Astyanax mexicanus: one gene and its partners. The protein of the gene in region 1 purifies or fractionates together with the protein of each later gene. This does not show direct contact. Links are inferred from orthologs where the notes say so. Each region holds a gene or a part of one and is shown on either strand. Other genes may lie near its edges. The genes, in order: polr3k, polr3h and pdrg1.

The links.
Region 2: the proteins of polr3k (region 1) and polr3h purify together in Homo sapiens (affinity purification with mass spectrometry; 3 studies listed by BioGRID and IntAct, with this or other methods). This does not show direct contact. The link is inferred for Astyanax mexicanus from reciprocal best matches to the Homo sapiens genes POLR3K and POLR3H.
Region 3: the proteins of polr3k (region 1) and pdrg1 purify together in Homo sapiens (affinity purification with mass spectrometry; 3 studies listed by BioGRID and IntAct, with this or other methods). This does not show direct contact. The link is inferred for Astyanax mexicanus from reciprocal best matches to the Homo sapiens genes POLR3K and PDRG1.

What each region holds. Positions count from the first base shown.
Region 1 is NC_064410.1:60,606,958-60,615,166, reverse strand, and holds polr3k (DNA-directed RNA polymerase III subunit RPC10), read right to left. Parts: upstream 4,111-8,209; 5' UTR 3,960-4,110; coding exon 3,849-3,959; intron 2,442-3,848; coding exon 2,354-2,441; intron 1,278-2,353; coding exon 1,150-1,277; 3' UTR 905-1,149; downstream 1-904. Other genes in the region: snrnp25 (U11/U12 small nuclear ribonucleoprotein 25 kDa protein), read left to right, coding at 4,257-4,341, 5,627-5,871, 6,770-6,860, 6,996-7,101, 8,016-8,090. UniProt on the Homo sapiens protein: Core component of RNA polymerase III (Pol III) which synthesizes small non-coding RNAs using the four ribonucleoside triphosphates as substrates. Can mediate Pol I proofreading of the nascent RNA transcript.
Region 2 is NC_064410.1:18,951,995-18,960,203, forward strand, and holds polr3h (DNA-directed RNA polymerase III subunit RPC8), read left to right. Parts: upstream 1-3,068; 5' UTR 3,069-3,226; intron 3,227-3,885; 5' UTR 3,886-3,886; coding exon 3,887-3,997; intron 3,998-4,799; coding exon 4,800-4,896; intron 4,897-5,149; coding exon 5,150-5,236; intron 5,237-5,904; coding exon 5,905-5,968; intron 5,969-6,938; coding exon 6,939-7,191; intron 7,192-7,326; coding exon 7,327-7,377; 3' UTR 7,378-7,640; downstream 7,641-8,209.
Region 3 is NC_064431.1:7,232,032-7,240,240, reverse strand, and holds the start of pdrg1 (p53 and DNA damage-regulated protein 1), read left to right. Parts: upstream 1-4,204; 5' UTR 4,205-4,440; intron 4,441-5,071; 5' UTR 5,072-5,140; coding exon 5,141-5,218; intron 5,219-6,005; exon of another isoform or gene 6,006-6,078; intron 6,079-7,224; coding exon 7,225-7,297; intron 7,298-8,101; coding exon 8,102-8,176; intron 8,177-8,209. UniProt on the Homo sapiens protein: May play a role in chaperone-mediated protein folding.

The DNA of each region.
Region 1 (8,209 bases):
AAATTGTCCTCCCATGTCCATTCGTTTTAAACTGCATGGAGTTGAAGAAGAAATGAGCTTTGCCGTTTTGGAGTAACTATCTAAAGTTGTCACATTATGGAAGTCTTCTTGCACTCTGTTAAACATATTAAAATGAATAATTAATAGACTAACAGACTGCAACAAGTCATACATTTGTTAATTAGTAGGCCCCTACAGTAAATTTTATATAATAGCCAACATAATATTTCTACTATAAACATGAATATATAGTGTATATAGAACATATGTTATATAATGAATAAAATAAAATGTTATGGATAATACAATCTAAATAAAATTAATATTTTTTTTATTAACATATAGTGATATAGTAACATTAAAGTCACTATAAAATGCTAACCTTATTTTCAATAAATTGTGTGAAGTTTACAACTGTTGTGCCTCCTCTTACTAGTATGATTTTAAGCATGCCAAATTAGTATAATACGATAGCATATCGGCCCTAAAAATCGGCAGGTCACATCGGCCATCGGCTGACTCTGACCACTAATGATCGGTATCGGCATCGGCCTTAGAAAAACCCATATCGGTCGGTCTCTAGTTATTATAGCTTTTAGAAAAATGTGTTTTAGGGAGGGGAGGGGGGTTAGTGCACTATAGGACTCTGTGGGCGTGGCCTAAGCTTTTGTTCTTAATGGTGTGTTAATTTTTTTCTCCTTCCATTACTTTTACTTTTATACTTTAAGTAGTTTTGAAACCAGTACTTTTTTAAACACTTTTACTTAAAGAGTAAAAAGCTTGAGTTTTACTTTTTCAACTTCTACAGAAGTATTTTAAACCCTAGTATCTATACTTCTACCTACAGAGTAATTAATATAAAAATCTTTCTTGTTAAAGAATGATCACAGGTGAATAAACTGTATGTCTTTAATTGACTCTTTATTGAATTAAAAATAATAAATTGCTGTGAAGTAACGGAAAACAATCACATCAACCTCTTTTAAAGCGTTTTTTGGGTCTTCAAAAGGCCTTCAAACCATCTTTTCACTTGGTGGAAAAATAAATAAATCCAGAGAAGTCTCCATCTCAGAGTTTAGCCTCTGTAAATCAGATTTTTTAAAGATACAGGATCCATAAATAGTCAGTCCATACAGATCCACAGCCGGCTCAGTCTCTCCAGCGATGGCCACACTGTGGACTGCAGCACTTGTAGAAGGTGGTCATGGGTTCATCAGCAGATCTGGTCTGAATCTGCATGAAGTACGCTCTCGGGTGCTCACACTTCGGACAGGTTTCTGAAGATTAAAAGACAGGAAAAAGTTATATGATAAAGTTTATTTACTGCAACTTACTTTATTACTGTTCCTGCCCTCAATCTAAATATTTTTATAAATAATTATGTATTAATATTTATCATAAATGTCAGCAATCAGGGTTCCTCAGTGTAGCCCTTTCAGGAGGCATTTGCTAGCACTAGTGGTTAGCCACAAATGCTAATGCTAATGCTGCTGCACCCAGCCTTAGTGGAAATCTGGAAATCTAAGCTTACTGTAAATAAACAGAAACGCTTTAAATATTCTAATAAATAAATAGGTATGAATATTCATCATAAACGTGAGCAATCAGGGTTCCTCAGTGTAGCCCTGTCAGGAGGCATTTGCTAGCGCTAGTGGTTAGCCACAAATGCTAATGCTGCTGCACCAAGCTTTAGTGGAAATCTGGAAATCTAAGCTTACTGTAAATAAACGGAAGCGATTTAAACATTCTGATAAATAAATATATATGAATATTCATCATAAACATGAGCAAACTGGATCAGAATCACAGAGAAATCATTAGAAATTCTAGTAAAATACACATAATATTTAAAATCAAATATACTGTTACTGATACTGTTCACACTGTAAGGCTTAAAATCCTTAACACTTAAAAGTGCTCCTTATGTATGAATTCTATCAGTCAGGTATTAAGGAGCAGTAAAGCCTCTCCGCTGAAGTACAGAGTTATACAGGAGTTTCAGTTTAGTTCTCCAGCAGTATTAGCACTAGCTGCTAACCAAGCTAAGCGCTAGCTCTTTTGTAGTTCAAAGCAGAGTATATCAGTCTGTAGTCAGCGTGTTTGCCGTGTTAAAACGGGCCTACCGGAACACTCAGGGTTCCTCAGTGTAGTGCTGTCGGGCAGCATTTACTAGTGCTAGCTGCTAATGCTAATGCTGCTGCACCCAGCCTTTGTGGAGATCTGGAAATCTAAGCTTACTGTAAATAAACAGAAGCGCTTAACTCACCCAAATTAGACATCATCATAAACATCCAGGCCATATCTTCCATATGTTAATTCTTTATTTAATCATTTATTGATCATCAATATTTACCTGCTGTGGAATCCACGTTCTCCCAGGCAGCAGCTCCCCCGAGAACATCGTCCACCTCCTTCAGTTTGGGGTATTTTCTGTTATTCACCTGAAAGCAACAAATAAAATACAAACATCCACATCAATATGGTAATCAATAAAAAAAGAATATAACACAAACGATATATACACATTTAAATGCAAATGTGAACTTTAATACAAAGCATGCATATAAAACCATAAAGTTTAATCAATGTTGAATCAACATAAAATCAATGTGCACAAACAAATCAGTTCTGATGACGGAGGTCAACCTTTTAGTGATGGAAAAATGAACGTTGATTAAACATTTAAGGGACACTTGCTGTGCATATTGAGAAGAGGACAGATGTCAGCCATACAGACAGTGCAGGTACACAGGTATGTAATAATTTAGCAGTGCAAATTTGAATGGGGTAAAATAATAAAAAAGATAATAAGTTTGAGATACAGTTACAAATCTATTGTATATTATATTTTCAGCTAATCAATTTCAGCTGCATGACAAAGAATATTATATAACCAACTAAACACAAATTACCTTACTTGTTTTTTTCCACTTACTAAATACTGTACTTCTATACACTATACTACTATATACTGTACTATATACTGTATTATTATATACTATTCTACTATACACACTATACTAAATATTGTATTATTATATACTAAACTTCTATGTACTATACTGCTATATATAATTTACTATACTATATACTATACACTATATTACAATATACTCATATACTACACTACTATATACACTATACTACTATATACTGTATTATTATATATTTTACTGCTATATATACTTTACTATATTATATACTATACTACTATATACTGTACTATTACATACTATATTACAATATACTCTTATATACAACACTACTATATACACTATACTAATAAATACTGTGTTATTATTATACATTATACTGCTACATATACACTTTACTATATTATATACTATACTACTATATACTATACTATTACATACTATATTACAATATACTTTTATATACTACACTACTATATACACTATACTACTATATACTGTATTATTATATACTATATTGCTATATATACTATATTATATACTATACTACTATATACTATACTATTATATACTATATTACAATATACTCGTATATACTATACTACTATATACAATACTATAGTACTATTTACTATACAATACACTACATAACATACTATTATATACTATACACTATACTACACTATATACTTTACTATACTATTATATAATATACTATATACTATTTATCAAAACAGTAACTTAACTGCAGGTTGCTAAATCAACACGTGTTTGGGGTAAATTCAGGATTAAATAGGTTAAATTCAGTGATTAGAGAAATGAACAGGATCTAACAATAGAGAATATCCTTATTAAACAGGTTTTATTACTAATATAGAGCTGAATATTAATAATATTAGTAATATATAGATTTACCTTCCTGGTGATGTTGTGAATGTAAGGGCAGGTATTGCAGGCGAACCGGTAACATTTCTGCCCTTCCTCTACTATTAACACATTCCCACAGGCCGGACAGAACAGCAGCATCTCTATATAACTCTATACTAACTCTATATAACTCTATAAATTAGTTTAATGCTCTAATTCCAGCAGAATTGCTGGATATTTCTCACGGTTAGCTCCTCCTGCTATCTGTGCTAACTACAGCAGTGCTCCTCAGTAACGAGTCCGACTGGAAACAACACAGACTAACACACAGTCTGAAAAACAGCACAGATTAAACTACTGTAAAATCATACCAGTTATAGCAGTTTATCAGTATTTAATACAGTTTTAACACGTATTAATACATTATCTTGTTTAAACGTGTTGTTAATCTGTTGTATGATCCAGTTTCTCTGTTCTTTTGGACCCAGGTTCAGATATTATAGCTGCGTGTTGCCGGCCGGCGCTGTAACGCGGGGACACGGTAAGTGCTGTGTTTGTTTGTGCTGCAGTTTATTCTGATTTAATTCACTTATAAAGCGATTTATTAAGGATAATAAAGAAATATAAATCTATTATAGACACCCAGTGAGGCCTGAGTAAAAATAAACACTCATATTTCCTCTCTAACGTGGTTAATTTAGCTCATTTATCTGCTTTTCTCCTCATTTACAAACATTTTGGTCAGTAATCCCAAAATTGCTGTGTATTAAAATATTTTAAATCAGTTGCTGAAGGTGTTTTAACGCTGCAGTTATGATGCAGTGTGAATACAGTGCAGAGAAAAAACTATTTACCCACCTACTTTTGCTTTTCTTTCGTTTTTGCTTTTTTTTGCATATTTAATTTGTACAAACTTTAATATCAGACACATGTGAACTAAAAAAAATGCAAAAAGCAGGTTTTAACCCCTTTTTATGGCATGGTATTGCTTTCAGGCAACAAAACGCTTGCTGTTGACTATTGTATTATCATTTCAGTGTGTTTATTATTATTGTGACTATTTTGTTTTCCTTTTATGACTAAATATATATATATATATATATATATATATATATATATATATATATATATATATATATATATATATATATAATATTTTTATTTATTTCTTTTTTTTTTCTTAACTTGTTAAGTTGCAAGACATAATGTTGCCCTGGGCACCCCTAATAATTTTCATGAATTTCCTTTATAAATCATTGGTTGTTCGGATCAGCAATTTCAGTTAAATATTTCATATAGCAGACAAACAAAGTGATATTTGAAAAGTGAAATAAAGTTTATAGGATTTACAGAAAGTGTGCTCAATAATTATTTAAACTAAATTAGAAAGAAATGCTGATCTGAACAACCAATGATTTATAAAGAAAAAACGTAACCACATTAATCACAAAAAACGTAATGATGAAACTGGCACTCATCAGGACCGCCCAATAAAGAAAGAGCAAGAGAGTCTCAGAAACTACAAGTTAACAGCCCCCCAGATAAGAGCACCTAAATGTTCACAGAGTATTTTGGTGTGATTGACACTTTTAAGTTACTACATGATTCCTTGTGTGTTTTCTTTCTTTAAAAAAATAATTAAAAAAACATTAAATCAGAAGCTGTGTTCAAATTTTGAACTTTGAGACTTTGGTACTGTATTTGTAGAGGTAACAGAAAAATGTAGCCCTAATTCTAGAATGTGCCGTATAATCGTTTATAAAAGCATTTAATAAATAATTATAATCTATAATCTCTAATATTATCTGTTGTGTATTTGCCCACAGGTGACCAGAATCAGATTAGCAATCCCCTTAAAGTATTGACCACAATGGAAGAAGAAGACCTAAAGACAGAACCACAGACAGAAAACATGCTAGAGACTGAAATGATGGAGAAGAGTGCTGAAGACGTTTTAAAAGAGGAAGAGGAAGATGAGGAGGCGCTGCCTCATTCAGAAGTTTTGGACATCTTTGAGGAAGGGCTGGCTATGATGGTGCAGGACCCTCTACTGTGTGATCTGCCTATACAGGTGTGTATAAGGGGACATACAGCTCTGGATAAAATGAAGAGATCACTTCAGTTTCTGAATCAGTTTCTCTGATTTTGCTATTTATAGGTTTATGTTTGAGTAAAATGAACATTGTTGTTTTATTCTATAAACTACAGACAACATTTCTCCCAAATCTGACATTGCAAAGACTGTTATTAGTGTAAAAATCTCTTTATTTTAAAATGTTGTCCGTATTGCTGCCTCCTGGTGTCGCAGTGCTGTTAGCCAATCAGCCGCGATATGTTTGCATGTATGAATATTCATGAGCAAGAGCTGAAATCCTATAGCCTCTCCCCGCCCACTCCTCCACCGGACTAAAGCAGCGTTATACCAGATCAGTGGAGCACTTTTTTATTTTTTTTTTATTTACCCAAAAAACAGCTCTTACATTCATATTAGAGACCACAGACATATTAAAATAAAAAAATAAAAAAAACGATGGAATGAGACCTTTAATGCAATACAGTGCCAAGAAGTTGCAAAACAGTCAGGATTCCAATATGTGTATATTAAAGTCAATGAATAGAATTGCAATGAAAAAATGTCCAGGAGACATTAGTGAGATTCTGGAAAAAATTATCTATTAAGCCACTGGGATTTCAAATTGTATTGTTACATATAATGGTCTATTTACTGAGGTTTGTGAAGCGACACTGTCACATGGACAGATGCACCCGCCACCATGTTTTACAGTATTTAATGTTGTTATAAAAGGACACATAAAGCACTACCTATTGTTCTAAATTTGTGGTTAGTGAATAAGGCACACACTGTACTGTAACAATAAAGAATCCATTTAAATAGAACATTCTGTAACCATATTTAATTGATCTAATAAATATGATCTGATGTTAATTGTATCCTCTCTCTCCTGTAGGTGACTCTGGAGGAGGTGAACTCTCAGGTGGCTCTGGAGTACGGGCAGGCCATGACTGTTCGAGTGTGTAAAGCTGATGGAGAGATCATGCGTAAGTTAATTTATGTGTTTAGGTGTTGTTTCTGGAATAAACTGTAATGGATGCTTTGAATGATAAAGTCTTATTCTGTAAAATTTAAAGTGTACAATAAAAATCATTAATGGATTGAGTTTAATTTTCAATCAGCCATCGTGGTGGTGCAGTCTGCTACAGTGCTGGATCTGAAGAAGGCCATTCAGCGCTACATGGAGCTGAAGCAGCAGCGCGAAGGAGGCATCAAACACATCAGCTGGTAAACCTGATATACCAGTTCATCTAGTGATCCAGAGTGATCTATTTTAAGTGTTTATTTCTTTTATTGTTGAAGATTATGGCTTACAGCCAATAAAAAAACAAAAATCAGTGTCTCAGAAAATTAGAATATTATTATAAGACCATTTGGTACTTTTGGCAGTGTGGGCAGTGTGCCAAGTCCTGCTGGAAAATGAAATCTGCATCTCTATAAAAGTTGTCAGTAGCAGAGGGAAGCATGAAGTGCTGTAAGATTTTGTGGGAAAACAAAACTGCACTGACTTTAGACTTGATAATAAAACACAGTGGATCAACACCAGCAGATGACAGACATGTCTCTCCAAACCATCACTGATCATCAGTAAATTTTACATTTCATTTAAAGTAAATCAAGGGAGCAGAGTCTGGAGGAAGAGTGGAGAGACACACAGTCCAAACTGCTCGAGGTCTAGTGTGAAGTTTCCACCAATCAGTGATGGTTTGGATAAAGAGACATGACATCTGCACTGTGTTTTATTAAGTGCGGATTTCATTTTCCAGCAGGACTTTGCACACTGCCCACAGTACTGCCAAAAGTACCAGTTGTTCTTATATAATATTCTAATTTTCTGAGATACTGATTTTTGGGTTTTCATTGGCTGTAATCCTCATAATCATCAACAATAAAATAAATAAAAGCTTAAAATAGATCACTCTGTGTTTAATACATCTATATAATATATATAGATGAGTTTCACGTTTTCAACTAAATTACTAAAATAAAGTAACTTTTCAGTGATATTCTATTTTTTTTAGATAAACTAGTATTTATTAAAATTAATCAATTTAATAATAAAATGACTTTTCGTTTAATGTCTTGTGTAAATTACAGTATCAGAAATGTTTATTTCTATTTTTTTTATTTCTATGTGGAAGGAAATATGTGTGGAGGACGTTTCACTTGGTATTTAATGGAGAAAGACTAGAGGAGGACAAATGGAAACTGAAGGAGTGAGTACACACTGATGCACACCATGCAGGCAGGTACGGTGGCCTAGTGGTTAGCATGCTTTAGTGGTTAGCATGTTCACCTCCTAGTGCTGGGGTCTGGGGTTCAGTTCCCTATCTGG
Region 2 (8,209 bases), about 42 Mb from region 1:
ATCTACAGGCAAATCTGAGTCGTTTCCCAACTCAGATCTGTTAAGATAAGTATCCACACTGGTATTTAAAAGCGCTTCTGCGCGGTTATTGCTGTGGTATGGAGATTGGCATTAGTAACTAACCTTCAGCACTCTTCTCGGATTCCTGCAATCAGACTGAGACACGTTTGTATGAATCCAATCAGATTGAAACCACCTGATTTGGGTCCACTTTGCAAAAATCTGATTTATTTAGGTTTCTGGCTGTTCCGTGGATCAGCTGGTGCTCTGTTATGTGATTAAAAACTCTGGCCTATCCGTCAGTGATGTAACCTTTATTTCCTGCTGAAGTAAAGCTGTACACGAACAGTGAACACACCTGTTATTTATGTATCTGACATCTGATCTCTAATCTACAACCAAATATTTGTCGGAATCGGACTCCATCTCTCTGTTCTGATTTTAATGTTTATTAATTTGTGTTTTGTAGATGGATGTGATTTGAATGCTATCAGAATCTGAACTTTCCTAAATAAATGAAAATAAAATAAATCAGCTAATGAGAATGTGCTTGTTTTGGCTGGATTTGTATTAAAATGCGTACACAGACACACACACCATTGTGAAACTGTAAGTGTGTTAAATCACACCAGTAATGCATGATCAGGTATTGTACATTAATCTAACTGTTTGAATGCATGTAAACACACTCTGTATTAAACATTAAATTGTTTTAGATTTGCTGTTCTCTGAGTTACAGATACACTTTTACACTACATGGAAAAAAAGTAATGGGACACTTGCTACTTTACTGTTTCTTCTGAAATGAATGGAATTTAAAAAAAAAAAAGTGTATCCTGCTTTTGTTTGAGTTAGTGTCTCTACTGTCCAACAAAGACTTTCTACTAGATTTTAGATTTTGGAGCATTGTTTTGAGGATGTGATTGCATGAAGTGACAATAGCTTTAGCCTTTATCTAATAGCTTTAGCCTTCTATTTATTAAATAGAAGGGTTGTCCACAAATGTCTGGAAATAAAGAGTAACTAAAGCTCAAAGTCACGTATTGTCAATAGATATGTAATAGAAAAATCCTGTGGTTCTTTAGGCTTAAGTGGGGGAAGGGAGTTATGATGCATGACAGATGTACAGAGGGCATGAGCATATTACGTAATCATACACTCACTCTGTAATGCCTGTGTGAAGTTCTGGCTTTATGGGTTGTTTATCACATGTAACCATGTAGGTGTTCAAAGAGATCCCAGTCAAAAGTCACTTACTAATCAATACAGAGACACTACTTAAAATGATTACTATTGATGAAAATTAATATTAGATTGTTGACTGCTAGACATGGCTCTGACATACTCAAAAACATTGTGCCCAGTTGGCAGACTGTAAAAAATGCATCGTTGGAATGAGGGAATTAGGGGGGTTTTGATGAATTGCCTGCCATATAGGTCAACTGCCACCCACCATCCTCTTCGTTTTCAGTGGTGTCATGAAGAAGAACCCTGGACTGCTACAGACTGGAAACATATCGTCTTCAGGTTGGGATCTGATGATAGTCAGGTTTGAGTATGAAGGTCTTGTGGTATGACAGGTCTTTGCGTATGACAGTTGGTCACTGCTAGAAGTGATCTGAGGGACACTAACAGCTCAGAGATACATGCACGACACCCTGTAGACAGGTGTGATAGCATGGCTAATAGCAGGGCTTCCAACTGGCATTCAGTTCAGTATTAATGGGAGCGGCTGGGACGCAGCTTCAGCAACCAACAAGTGTAGAGCAGGATCTACTGCAACAACTGCAACGTATGTGGGTAAATATGCTGCAGGATGCCACACAAAACATGTACACCACCATGTCCAATCGCATCTCATCTTGTATTCAGGCTAGAGGCTCCTTTAAATTACAGCATTTTTTCTCAATAAATGTATTAATCCTTTTATATTAGAATCACTCTAATATTACTATGGGTGTAATTTATGTTTTGAATATTTATGTTTATTCTTTTTTTTTTAGCTTTCTGCCCCAAAGTTATAAATGCTGGCATATTTAAATTCAGTCATGTTTCACTGATTCTTGAGATATGGGACAAAATGTGGCTTACGTTGAAAAGACTTCTTGGTGTTAAAAATAAAGAAATTAGGGGGTCACGTGACACAAATGGCAGACTAGCAGTTTGGCCAACATGATCCAATAGCCCCTCTGAATATTACAAATAGTTACCACTGCGAACTTGATAACAAGAGGCTAAAAGTAGTATAATAGTATGTTGCAATGCCAGGTGGACAAATGAGGCTTAAACTTGTGTCTAAAAACAGTAATAGAAGCACAGTGGTTACTTTTCCACTAAAGGTTTCAGCTCAGCTATTGATATGGTATAACAACAACAACAATGATAATATTAATAATAATAACAATAACAATAATAATAATAATAATAAGTTTTAGGTGTAGTAATGTTTTTTTTTAATGGAAGACATACAGTATGTGATCAGTGGTGATTTATAAACAGAGTGTATAATAATAATACACTATATTTTTTCTGTTCATATTTTTTACCCTTTCATGACCTGAAAGTGATGGAAAAATATGCAAGAATTCTGTCAGTAATGCACAGAAAAAGAAGAGTCTAATATTCTACTATAAAGTCTATTTAGCAAATAAATCAAATTAATTAAAATATTTATTTATTGTTTATTTATTATATATTTTATTTCCATTGCATTGGAAACCTGTGTGTAATATTTTATATTTCATAATGACCTTTTTTATTTCATAAATCATCCATGAACAGTAAAAAACATGATAAAAAATGTTCTAAATCAAATTAATTAAATTAGTTAAAATTAGCTGTTACTTTGCTGTTACTCAATGGCTCTAGTACTACTGTTTTTCCAGTGCAGTGGACCTAGTTGCTGTTTCATTGGTTTATTAACTTGTTGATTGGATGGTTCATGGTCTATTCTGATGAGCAACAGCTCTCAAATAACGTTATGTGCAACAAAACATTTAAAAATAAAGAAAATCCTGGTGTTCATTGTAATGGATGCAGGTCTGAAAGGGTTAATATCTACGCTGAATACGTCACATGTTTTGCCGTAAACCGTCCAGCCTTGTCGTAAAGCCGGAGCACACGTGAGAGGACAGCGGGAGTTTAGTGTAAAATGAACCGGATTCGGATTAAATCTGTATCAGAACTGAGGCTGTAGAGCAGTGAGGAGTTCACTCAGAGGAGGAAGGTGAGCTTTGTCTGTTTAGCGAGGCTGGAGCTTCGTGCTGCCTCAGGTCCAGCCTGACTTCCTCACTGCAGCTCGATTTAAGGTGGAGCGGATTATTCCAGGCTCAAATTCAGCCTCGTGTCGACCTGTTTATTTACCTGTTTCAGCTCTAGAACTTCAGGCTCACCCTTAAGAAGTGTATTAACCATAGTAAATAAAGTTATGACACGTTTAACAATATTTAAATAAAAATAAAGAAATAATAAAGAAAAACTCAATCTAGCGCTTCTCCGGCATCTTCCAGCATATCTGACCTGTTTAAATCAGCTGTGTTATTAATCAGCTGTATTATTAATCTGCTGTGTTATTAAACAGCTGTATTATTAATCTGCTGTGTTATTAAACAGCTGTGCTAAAGAGTTATGTTTTTATCAGCTGTGTTATTAATCAGCTGTTATTAATCAGTTGTTTTAATAATCAGTTCTGTAATTAATCTGATCTGTTATTAATTAGCTGTGTTATTAATCAGCTGTATCGTTAATCAGCTCTGTTATTAATTAGCTGAGTTATTGATCAGTTCTGTTTTTATTCACTTGTGTTATTGATCAGTTTTGTTATTAATTATTTCTGTGTTATTAATCAGTTGCATTATTAATCAGGTGTGTTATTATTCATTTCAGGATGTTCGTGGTGGTGGAGATGGTGGACACGGTGCGGATTCCTCCCTGGAACTTCCATCGACAGCTCAACGATGCCATTGCTGAAGAACTCAATAAGAAACTGGCCAACAAGGCAAGACCTCCATCACTATTACAGCTTTGTTCACAACAGGGCATTATGGTCACCTGAATGTTTCTAAACTCATTATCCAGTTTCAGCTCCACTTAGCATAAAGGACACGGTGTAGTTCTTTAAATACAGACTGTAGTCCTGTATCTGTTTCATACTTCATCATGCTCCGTTCCTTACTGGTAAGAGTGTTTAAACATGTTAGTATCACTGCTGGACTTAGGAAAGTCCATCAACAGAACTGTCCTGTGGTTAGTGTCCTGTGAACATTGTGAACCAGTGTTCTGTTTTTAGGTGTCCTGTGGTAAGTGTTCTATGGGCGGCATCATGTGAGCATCGTCTTGTGGAACAGTGTCCTGTGGTTAGTGCCCTGTGAGCATCGTCTTTTGTAACGGTGTTACAGTGAAACATTTAGAATAATTAATGAATTAGGTGTTGAGGTTATTCAAGAAAAAAAAAACTGATTAGATGCAGCACTATTGTAAATAATCATCCAGGAAAGTTTGAGCGGTAGATTTAGCATATATGTAAGGCTCACGTGGTGATTTCTAAGTAAGTTTGGATCTTGATTAAATGAAATGCCGACTGTAATCTAGAATCTAAATGTACATTACCACCTTAGTTTACTGTCTGCACAGTGCTCTGGGCTGCCAGGACTGGAGTCTGACACACACTGGATGAAGCTCGTAGAATAAACTCAAGGGAGAAATGCTGACCTAAAGCAGCTAGACTCTGTTTTAATGATTAAGATTTGATGTTTCAATAACTGTCCGTTTGATGTAGTAATCATGTCTCCTTATTTTAGGTCGTGTATAACGTTGGCTTGTGTATCTGCTTGTATGACATCACCAAACTAGAGGATTCCTACATTTTCCCCGGGGATGGAGCCTCCCACACTAAAGGTATTTTTGGGGGATTTGGAGACCTCTCTGGTCAGAATGTGTAATTACACAAAGCATGGGGAAGAGCACTTTCAGGTTAATGCAGGTTAATAAAACATTGGGCAGACAGCTGTTAGACGGCAGTAGCTGTTTAGAGTTTTTTAGAAAGCCTGTGTTGTTTTATTCAGACTCTCTTTCTGTTTGAAACTGATTCTGCCGTAGATCTTAAATATTTCTGTAATATCAGTGTCTTTGCTTTGTTTATTTGGAACAGTGCATTTTAGATATGTGGTGTTTCACCCGTTCCTGGATGAGATTCTGGTGGGGAAGATCAAATACTGCAGTCAGGAAGGAGTGCACGGTAAAATTACACACCACTACACTTTTACTATCTCTCTCACTCCCTCTCTCTCTCTCTCTCTCTCTCTCTCTCTCTCTCAATAAGGCCTGTATCTGTTTCTTAATCTCTCTGTCATGCTGTTACACCTCTGACACTCAGAAATGTATTCCATATAGTCTCAGCTTTTAGTTTATTAAGTGAGAAAAATGGTGAATTGGTTCCTGTAAGGTTGTCACTCTCAAAAAATGCTAAAAGAACAAGTCAGCTTATCAGTGTACACAGTTTTTATGTTTAAACAAATTCACATCCTTTGTAGAGACACTTTACCCGTTAAAGCCTGAATCATCAAATAACAACAGAAATGTAGAGTTATTTACTGCTTCTGACTTTAAATAATATACTTTACATATTTTACTTGTATTTTATGTAATAGTTGATACATTAGAAATTTATTGCTCACAGCGTTTTACAGAACTTGCAGAACTTTTACAAACATACATAGAACACAGAATCGTTTAACCCTTATACAGTGTCCTATATACAGATTATATAGGATAAAGTATGCTTACTTATTCTATTATATATTTAAGATTTTTCCATTATGTTTTTTTTATTTAGAAATATTATTTAGTTATATTATTAGTTGATATTTAAAATAATTATCATGTGTGCATGTGTGTGTTTCACAGTCAGTCTTGGATTCTTCGATGACATCCTAATCCCACCAGAATCACTACAACAACCTGCTAAATTGTATCCTGCCTGGATAATGTTGATGGTCATGTTGATTATGATTATGATTATTATGATGATGATCATGATGATGATGAAAATTACTGTGTATTGTCAAGAATTTGGGCGAAATATATTATTATACAGGGGATATGGTTCAGTACATTGCAATATGTGATTATTTTAATAAAATATTAGTAAAACTCCCATAGTATTAAAAAAACACTGTTATATTTATAAAACCTGAGTAAAAGAAAAGTTGATTACAACACTGCTATCTAGTGTGCGGGGTTTAAACACAACAGTAAATGAACTACTTCTAACACCAATCTTTGCATTTAAATTAATCATTAATAATATATACTGTTTTTGAAAAGGAATACAGTATTGAAAAACAAAATATCATGATACAATATGAATATTTTCATATGCTCCTAGTGATGGTAATGATGAGGATGTAGAGGATAATGATGTTGATGTGGATGATAATGTTGAGGAAGATGATTATGATGATGTAAAGGGTGATTATGTTTAGGATGAGGATGATAAAGATGTGGAGGATGATGTTGAAGATGAGGGTGATGAAGATGAGAAGGATAATGATGTTGAAGGTGAGGATGATGTGGATGATGAGGATGATGTAGGGGATAATGAAGTTGATGAGTATGATGTCGAGGATGAAGTTTATGTTGAGGATGAGGATAAATATATTGAAATTGAGGATAAAGATGTTGAGAATGAGGATGATTTATGATGATCAGAATGAAGATGTTGAGAAGGAGGATGATGAGAAGCATGATATTGATAATAATGAGGATGGGATAATAATGAGGATGATGACAAGCTTGTTGTAATTGGCTGTGTGTGTGTTCAAGTTCGTGTTCTCCTGTATGGACTGTGTTGGCGTGTATTTCTGTCGTTTTTCTGCTGCGCGAGTGAATGGCAGCACGGGTTCAGTCCTTGTGGTTTGGTCCTTGACCGGTTTTCATAGTGACGAGGCGGAGCAGGTTTGGGTCTGGGAGTATGAGACAGATGAGGGCGCTCACGACCTTTACATGGACCAGGGTGAAGAGATCCGCTTCCGGGTTGTGGACGAGCTCTTCCTGGACACGTCTCCTACCGGACCCACCACTGACCCGGAGGCTCCGGCTAACAGCAGGACCGGTAGTGCCGCACCGCAGCCTGCAGCCCCCGCCGCCGCTGACGACAGCTCAAATAAGAAAGAGTCTCCGTACACATTGATGGTAAAACAAATATTTTTAAATTAAAGATTAGCCATATTGTTTTTGAAACAGTTTCATGTATCATCTTTTGCCATATATTAATTATATGGTGTAGTGTGTAGTTGATGAGAGTGTTTGTATTTCTATGTTTTGCAGGCATCCATCAGTGAGCCGGGGTTAGGTCTTCTGTCCTGGTGGAGTAACTGATAAACGATGTGTGTGTGTGTGTGTGTGTGTGTGTGTGTGTGTGAGAGAGAGAGTAAGAGTGCGCACGCGTAATAAATAATCACAGCTGAGAAGATTTCGACTGAAGAACCTGAAGGAACCTCACTTCTTGAGCTGCAGACTGGACACTGACGTTTCTGTGCTCTCTTCTAGAGCCGCACAGTGTGTACAAAATTCTGATACTGTGATTGGGATATGCCTTTAGATTTTCTTTATACGTGTATATATTAAAAACTGTAATTTGACCTGTTTACTGATTGGTCTGTGTTATTGTGACCAGATTCCCTTTTGTATTAATAAATGAGCAGCTTCAAACATCAGAACCCCCACAGTAACACATCCTGAGCTGTGATTGGTCAGAATGCTCACAACACAGAAAACACCACTGTTATTAAGATGACCTGCCTATTTCAGCCTTGTGTCCTTGTTGTTATAAAGGCCCTGCTGTACTGTCCTGGATCAGTTACACAATGAACTCATCGTTATATACTAGTGCATATCAAAATATTAGAATATCATTGAAAATTCAGTCCAAATATGAAACTTATATATTATATACATGTATTTCTCTTCTTTGGCCATAATCATCAACAATAAAATAAATAAACACTTAAAATAGATCTCTCTGTGTGTAATACATCTACAGTGCCCTCCATAATTATTGGCACCCCTGGTTAAGATGTGTTCTTTAGCTTCTCATAAATTGAGTTTTGTTCAAAATAATATAGGACCACGATGGAAAAAAAGAGTAAAGTCCAACCTTTAACTCAAGTGAATTTATTCAGTAGGAAAAAAATCCCACATTAAGAAATAA
Region 3 (8,209 bases), on another chromosome or scaffold:
CGGTTCGGCCCCCTCCCCACTCCCCCGCAGGCCTGCACTCACACTGCGCTAAACGATCCGTGCCCGAGCACGCTTTCGTCAACAGGTGACTTTTGTTTTGAAGAACAGTATGCGCGCGCAAAACAATGGAGTTCAGGATTGTACTGTTGTTTTTGTTTCTCTGGAGTCGTTTTGGGCGTGCAAATACGCAACTGAACCAGAGATTCATTGATTGTGCAACACAGCGATTTACTGCTAATTGTGCTGCACGTGTAAGAAGGTTTTTACACAAGCAGCAGACGTCCAGGGAGAAATTTGCAGCTTTACTCGCGGACTACAATTCACGTTTATCAGTAAGGTAAGAGACGTACTTGCTATATACATAAATAGTGACCAAAGGAGCGAAACATAAAACTCAAGTAATAATAAAATGTGTTTGTTGTTTAGGACTTGTAGATAGTAGTCCTAATTTATTATGGGTAACACTAACCATTATGGTGCTCTTTAGAACCCTTTTCAAAAATATTATATGCAGAATTGTGTATAAAACGTCCTCCGTTTACAGTAGCATCGCATCACTGACGTCATCTTGATCCGGGTCCAAGTGAACCGTGCTCGGGCCCACCTCTTCAAGCGGGCCCGGGCACGGTTCGGAGCGATCACACTAGCCAAACGAACCGTGCTTTGGGAGGTAACCGTGCCCGGGCACGGTTCGGATTGCCTAGTGTGAGTACACCCTAAGATTCAGGTCATAGACAGATGTCCTGACATCTCCCTTAAGAATTTTCTAATATAATTCAGAATTCATTGTTCCATCAATGAAGGCCAGCTGTCTAAAACCATGTTACTACCACCACCATGTTTCACAGATTTTCATTTAAACCAAAAAGATCTATTTTTGGTTTCAACCGTCCACAAAATATTGCTCCAATAGTCTTTTGGCTTGTCCATGTGATCTTTAGCAAACTACAGATAAGCAGCAATGTTCTTTTTGGGGAACAGTGGCTTTCTCCTCGAAACACTGACATGCACTCTATTGTTGTTCAGTGTTCTCCTGAGGAGGGTCCAAACTCCACCTTTTCCAGCCTGATGGACATGAACAACTTATCTTTTGAGGTGCTCAGAAATCTCCTTTATTCATGCCATGATATACTTCCAAAAACATGTGTTGTGAAGAGCAGACTTTGATAGATCCCTGTTCTTTGAATAAAACAGGCTCTGCCCACTCACACCTGATTGTCGTCCCATTGATTGAAAAACCCTGATTCTAATTTGAATTTCACCTTCAAACTAACTGCTAATCCTAGAGGTTCACATACTTTTACCACTCACAAATATGTATATATATGTATATATTTTAAATAAATAAATGACCATGGATTTTTTTTCTCCTTTGTTTAACTGGGGTCGGTTTATCTTCTTATTGGACTTATGTAAAAATCTTGTGATGTTTTGGCTCATATTTATTTTAAAATATAGTAAATTCTAAAGGATTCACAAACTTTCAAGCACTGCTGTATGTTGCTTGTATTTTTTTGGTTATTTTGTTTTGTGAACAAACAGCCAGAGCATGTTTCTCTTCCTTTATCATTGCTAGTTATGTTAATGTTACAGTTATTATTTAATGATACTGATGTTTTAGTGTAATTCACTTATGTTTAAGATGAATGTGTATTTTTCTAGGAGATATAATAAGTTGAAGTGCAGCTTGGAAACAGATTATTTTTGGCAATATTAATAATTCAACTTCCTCTGTTACATGACTGACCCAAGACTGCCACGATCAGAAATTGGGACTGAAGCATTCCAGTTTTACAGCAGATGATAACAGTACCTCACAAAATTAGTCTTCATCACAGCACACTGTATTTCAGCACACTGAGGAATGTAAATGTGTGTCATTTTCTATTGCTGTTTGTTATTCTTGACTATGACTTCTTGTTAAGTAAAAAAAATGCTTGTTTGAGGTGTTTTGTGTATTTTTCAAAAACGTTGTGCTTTGTTGTACAATTAACAAAAAAATACAAATACAACAAATTGCCAAAAGACATGGGATAGCACTATGTTCATAAAGTTAATCATGTAGCGTTACCTCAGGGGATGGCTTGGGAACTCCCAAACCTGTAAAAGTTTTATTTTGTGAGTGATGTTGAACACTAGACATTGTGCTCATGGCAAGGCAGTGTGAATTACACTACGTAACAATTTTGCATATATGTTTTCTTCCCAGATGTTTGTTGTTGTTGTTTGTGCCTCAAGTGAATAGAAATAAGGTATTATTCCCCATAAACTTGCTTTTGTGGTCAGCACAATGAGATTTTAAATGTATTTATTATTAAGAATATTCACGAAATATAGCCTTTGGCCCTGTCCTATATCGCCCCTTGGCCCTACCACTTATTTATTTAGTTATGAAATTTTTAGAGGCACATTTAAGGAAGCATTAGGAAGATGGCAACACAAGCGACCAAAGAAACACAAAAATTTAAGTATTTTCCTTGTAAAAAAAATTACAATTAGCACTACATTACCAACTGTTTAATCTGTAGTTGCAGTGTTTTATGGACATTTTCTTTTTCTCTGAATGCCGTTACTAAGGACAGTATAAGGAGAACATGATGGAGGGTAGTTTATGGACTAATACGTGAAAGTAATTTGCAGTTTAGTCATAAATCTGTGAAGACAACACACTTCTGAATGTTTATTGTTATCTTGCAAGGCATACTGTTGCATTGCATAGTAGTGCACATTATTACAGAAAGAACGGGCCGAGAAAGTGATCTGCAGTACAGTCTGCATATAGAACATATATTCATTTTTGAGCTATTATACGCAGCATTGATCAAGTTTTATAATAATTGTGTATTTTTGTAGTGAAATGTTGATTGTTTCTATGATAAAGCACAAGTCCAATTCTTGTATTTTATCCCAATAAATATAAAACTAGCATAGGCTACTGTCATAAAATCAAAGTTCATGAGGAATGTTGGTGTTTTTTATTGAGTTTATATGTAAGCAGTTGAAATATAACAGAACTCGGGAAGAAAAAATGTTTTATATTGTGTTATTACTCGACGTGAGGCCTGATAGTGTGACTAATATTTGGAAGGTTTGATATTTGTTCTGTGGATTTAAAGAATACACCAGTGAACTTCTGTAGGTCTTCCACATATCACTGAAAAACAACTCTAACCAGCTCTGGACTCTACAAGACCTCTGAAAGTTGTCTGAGGTATTTGGCACCAAGACGGTAGCAGCAGAGCCTTTAAGTCCTGTAAGTTGCAAGGTGGAGCCTCTGCGGATCAAACGTTTTGTTTCAGCACATCCCACAGTGGATTGCTTTGAGAGCTGGGGAATTTGGAGGCCCGAGTGACACTTTGAATTTTTGTGTACCTTAAAACCAGAGAAGTACTTCACTACTGTACTTAGATACTAAAATGCCGTATCTAATGAAGTATTATTTTTACTTCTCTACTAAAATACTGGATCTGTATCTACTGGAGTATTCTTTTTACTCCACTACTGTACTTAAGTATTAAAATGCTGTACCTGTAGAGTATTATTTTTTTCTCCTACTTCCACTTTTACTTCAATACATATTTTGTATGAGTTTTATATTTTTACTGTTATACATTTTCTATGTGCTGCATCGTTACTTGTTACAATTATAAAAATGTTAGGAAAAAGGACACAAAAACTATAATGATTAAAAGCCTGTCATCCAGAGAGAGAAACATTAGAATACAATGTTTTTAATCTAGAAATAAAGGTCTCCTTCCGCTAAAATCCACTTTTTCCTATTGCTCTCTGAGTTGTATGTCTCATATAAAACTGTTTCTCAGCCTCCATTGTCCGCAGTAGCTAGTAAAAGAAAATCCTCAGAAAAATGAGTCGATCAGGAAAAGCTGTCTACGTCAACTTGTGAGTTCATGGCCTTGCCAACATTAGCTCGGACCGACCAACACCGGTCAAAGCGGGCGCCGTTTAAGTTTAACAAATAATCATAGTAATTTTGATAATTGTATTATTTCTTATATTAATTTACCCTGTTGTGGTAAAATATCAGTAAATAAATAAAAAACTGTTTTCTGTAGAAAAATGGAAATGTATAAGTCATACCTGTCAAGTCTCCCGTTTTGGCCGGGAAACTACCGTATTTTACTCCTCTCCTCCCGTATTAGTATTTTCCCGTAAATTTCCCGTATTATACTAAATAAAAAAATATATAGGCCACAGGCGACAATGCACTGACCGCTGTGTGTCTCTTAACCAATCGTGGTGCCGGTTCAAGGAGAAAGTCCCGCCTTTCAGGAGAAACAGCCAATCAGCTTGCTGGTTTTGCGGAGAGCTGTTTAGTGTGGGGGAAGCCCCGCCCCTCCCCTCGCTGTGAGTTCAGGCAGCTAGTCGGAGCAGCTGTCGTTAAAACTAATCTGGATATACGGAGATTTTTCTAAAAGAAAGGTAACTAACCATGTAAACTGTGATGAGAATGTATATTTTCCTCTTTCAAATAATTTCTGTATTATTGTTTTTAATATATTTCTATATGTGTATTTTTAACGTCTGTTACATATATTTATAAATCGTTTTCTCATTTATTTATTCACTTATTTATTTCTGTATTTCTTCCTCCGTATGGGAATTCATTATTTTTGTTTCAAAATTAAAGGATGATCCTTGCTTAGTAGATATAAAAATCTTAGTTACTAAAGTTTTTAATTAGTGTATTTAGCCGTTTAGCTCCATTCACTCCTATTCATTTAGGTCTCGCTCGCGGGCTCTCTCTAGTGTGCAGTTATAATGTTATAATTTATAATTTATAAATATAATTATAATTATAATTATATAATTATAATTAATTATAATTATAATTTGATATAATGGGACCGATAGGGAGTGGGCAGGCTTTTCATAAACCGGCTCTGATAGTACCAATCTCTGTGTGTCTGTGTGCATTAAAGTTCAACTATTAATATGAAAAGGTAATTCAGGGTGTAAAAAGTATTTTAGGCATGATTGTGTGTCAGTAGTTACTGATTTTTAATTTTGAAACTGGGCGGAACTGATTATCGCGCGGTCCTTGTTTCCCCAGACTGGGGGACTTATTTTGTATAATTACTCGCTGTGTGAGGAGCTGTGCTGCTGCTGCTGTAGGAGGGAGATGGACTCCAGCAGGGTGATGGAGTATCTGATGGAGGTAGAAGTGGCAGCTGAAGACGTGCTCGCTGATAAACAGCAGGTAACTAGATTAATAACAGCTGTTAAACATCAGATTACAGCTCATTCAGAGCGGAGCTGAGCCTGTTGTAGTTCAGCTAACTATCCCTGTAGCCTAGCTAAGCTAACCAACACATATAGGTGCATTTCGTAAAATTAGAATATCATTGAAAAATTACTTTATTTGAGTAATTCAGTTCAACATATAAAACTCATGTATTATATATACAGTATATGTATGTATATATATATATATATATTACACACAGAGTGATCTATTTTAAAAGTTTAGTTCTTTTATTGTTGACGTTATGATTATAGTCTATAATCATAACGTCAACAATAAAAGAACTAAACTTTTAAAATAGATCACTCTGTGTGTAATATATATATATACATACATATACTGTATATATAATACATGAGTTTTATATGTTGAACTGAATTACTCAAAGTAATTTTTCAATGATATTCTAATTTTACGAAATGCACCTATATGTGTAGGTTAGCTTAGCTAGGCTACAGGGATAGTTAGCTGAACTACAACAGGCTCAGCTCTGCTCTGAATGAGCTGTAATCTCCTGTTTAACAGCTGTGTATACAATTGATTATTACAATATAAAAGCTGCTAAAACTAAGCACATCACCTCTGAACCACAGCAAAAAAAACAGAGCCTAGAGCCTACTTTAAAATAAAGTAAAACTACAAATGTGCACAGTAACTATAAGCTATTATTAATTAAATTAATAATAGCTTATAGTTACTGTGCACATAAGTCTTCCTAATGTGTGGCCTAAAAAGTATAATTAGGTCCCACCGAGATTCGAACTCGGATCGCTGGAGTCAAAGTCCAGAGTGATTAACCATTACACCATGGGACCGGAAATGCCTTTACCACAAAGTTGTAGAAAAGAGCTGATCTTCCTCTCCTAAATATACAGAAAATAAGCTTGGTCCCTGCTCTCCTTCACTATCGCTCATTAGTATAGTCCTGATAAACGATAAGTGATTTGCAGTGGACTCTGTCCCCCTTTTATAGACTCTCGCTCTGATGCGTCGCAACAAAAAACACAGTGGATCAACACCAGCAGATGACATGTCTCTCCAAACCATCACTGATCATCAGTACATTTTACATTTTATTTGTAAATTAAGAGACCAGAGTCTGGAGGAAGAGTGGAAAGACACACAGTCCAAACTGCTCGAGGTCTAGTGTGAAGTTTCCACCAATCAGTGATGGCTTGGAGAGACATGTCATCTGCTGGTGTTGATCCACTGTGTTTTATTATCAAGTCTAAAGTCAGTGCAGTGTTTTCCCACAAAATCTTACAGCACTTCATGCTTCCCTCTGCTGACAACTTTTATGTATTCTGGATCACTGCAATTTCAGAAAACAACAAAGTCAGTCAATATTGTCAGAGTGAACTTGGCCTCATTCTTGGCATTACAGTACAGTACTGCCTAAAATAAAAAATACATTTTATGTCTTAATTGAATTTGGATGAAATGATAGCCAACATTAAGATAGCTGATAGATCTCATAATATTGGCTAGCCAGCTAACTGCACTAACATTTCCACTGGAAAAAAAAACTGTCTTGTCCTGTAAAGAAATGTTCACATACTTTCTGCTTCTTTTTAAAGAATTTCCTCAAGCTCACTGTGTTTCTGTGAAGGGAGCAAATATCCCCAACAGTTGATCATCAATCAAGAATATCCCACTGTTACTTAAAGTAATAATTAAGGCAAACTATTATGGTATTGTTCTTTATTATTGTTTCCTCTTATGTAAAAGAAAATGTCCTCAAATCACTGGAACTCTAGCAGCTGTACCTAATAAAACCCTGTTCAAGGGAAAACTCTTTATTTCAGACAAAGTCAGTTGCAGCAACATAAATCATTCCCACATTTGGTATTATAAGTTGTGGTTTAGTGTTTTTTTTTTTTTTAAACGTGTAGTTAATACAAGTATGAAAAGAAATCTGAAAAGAAGTGAGTTACATTTAACCTAACATTATCTCAATGCAGATTGTAGACCTTGACGCAAGAAGGAACAGAAATCGAGAAGCGATGAATGCTCTCCGAAATAGTGCTGACAGTGGTACGTTAATAATTATTGTATATAAATACATGTTCAAATGGGATAATGCATTATACTGTATGTTCAAAGGTTTGTAGACTTGTGGATGCAACTTGATGAACAGGTGTCTCAGTCAGTGTTAATGATGGGGTATCTGCAGACTTTGACCAAATGTAAAACCTAAATTAATTTATTTTAATATAGTAATTCAAGTTTTGTAAAACTTAACATAAACTGTAATGCTTAATGTAGAGTCTGTACACATAATTTTTAGAGATGCACAATGACATCAAAGTTTTTGAATATTCAAAAATGGTCTAGATTTGTCAGATATTTCAACTTAAAATTTGCTGCTGTATTTATTGCATGCTGGTTAAGGGCAGAGCAAAGCTGCCTGCTTTACTACAATTGGGCGACACTGATAAAACAATGTGAAAACTAACTTCTCAGCAAAAACCTTTCATTTTATTGTTTGAATACAATTGGTTGAAAGCTAAAATGTAAGGCAAATAAATATTACATTTTTTTTTTTTTTTTTTCATTTTAACCGGGTTGTGCAGTCTCTCTGTAAGTTATAAATGTGTATATCTGAATTTGCATGTGTAATATCAGATCTAGGCATTGTCCCAGTATTCTCATATCAGTGCATCCCTAGTAATATTGGTGTGTGTCTTTCGTTATTGTGAAAGGTTTTATGGCCATATTGCCCACCTGTACACTACAGTCAATTTGCCATATAGTGAATATAGAGTCATGTAAAATCTTTATTTTTTCTTGTGCCATCTTTTCATATCTGTCCATGCTTTCATTTCTATTTGTCCACAGATAAAGTAAAAGTCTGCTTTGGAAACATGTTCATAAAATTCCCCAAGGAGAATGCTCAAGCCATGATGCAGAAAGGCAAGTTCAGTGTTTTGTATGTTGAAGCCATGC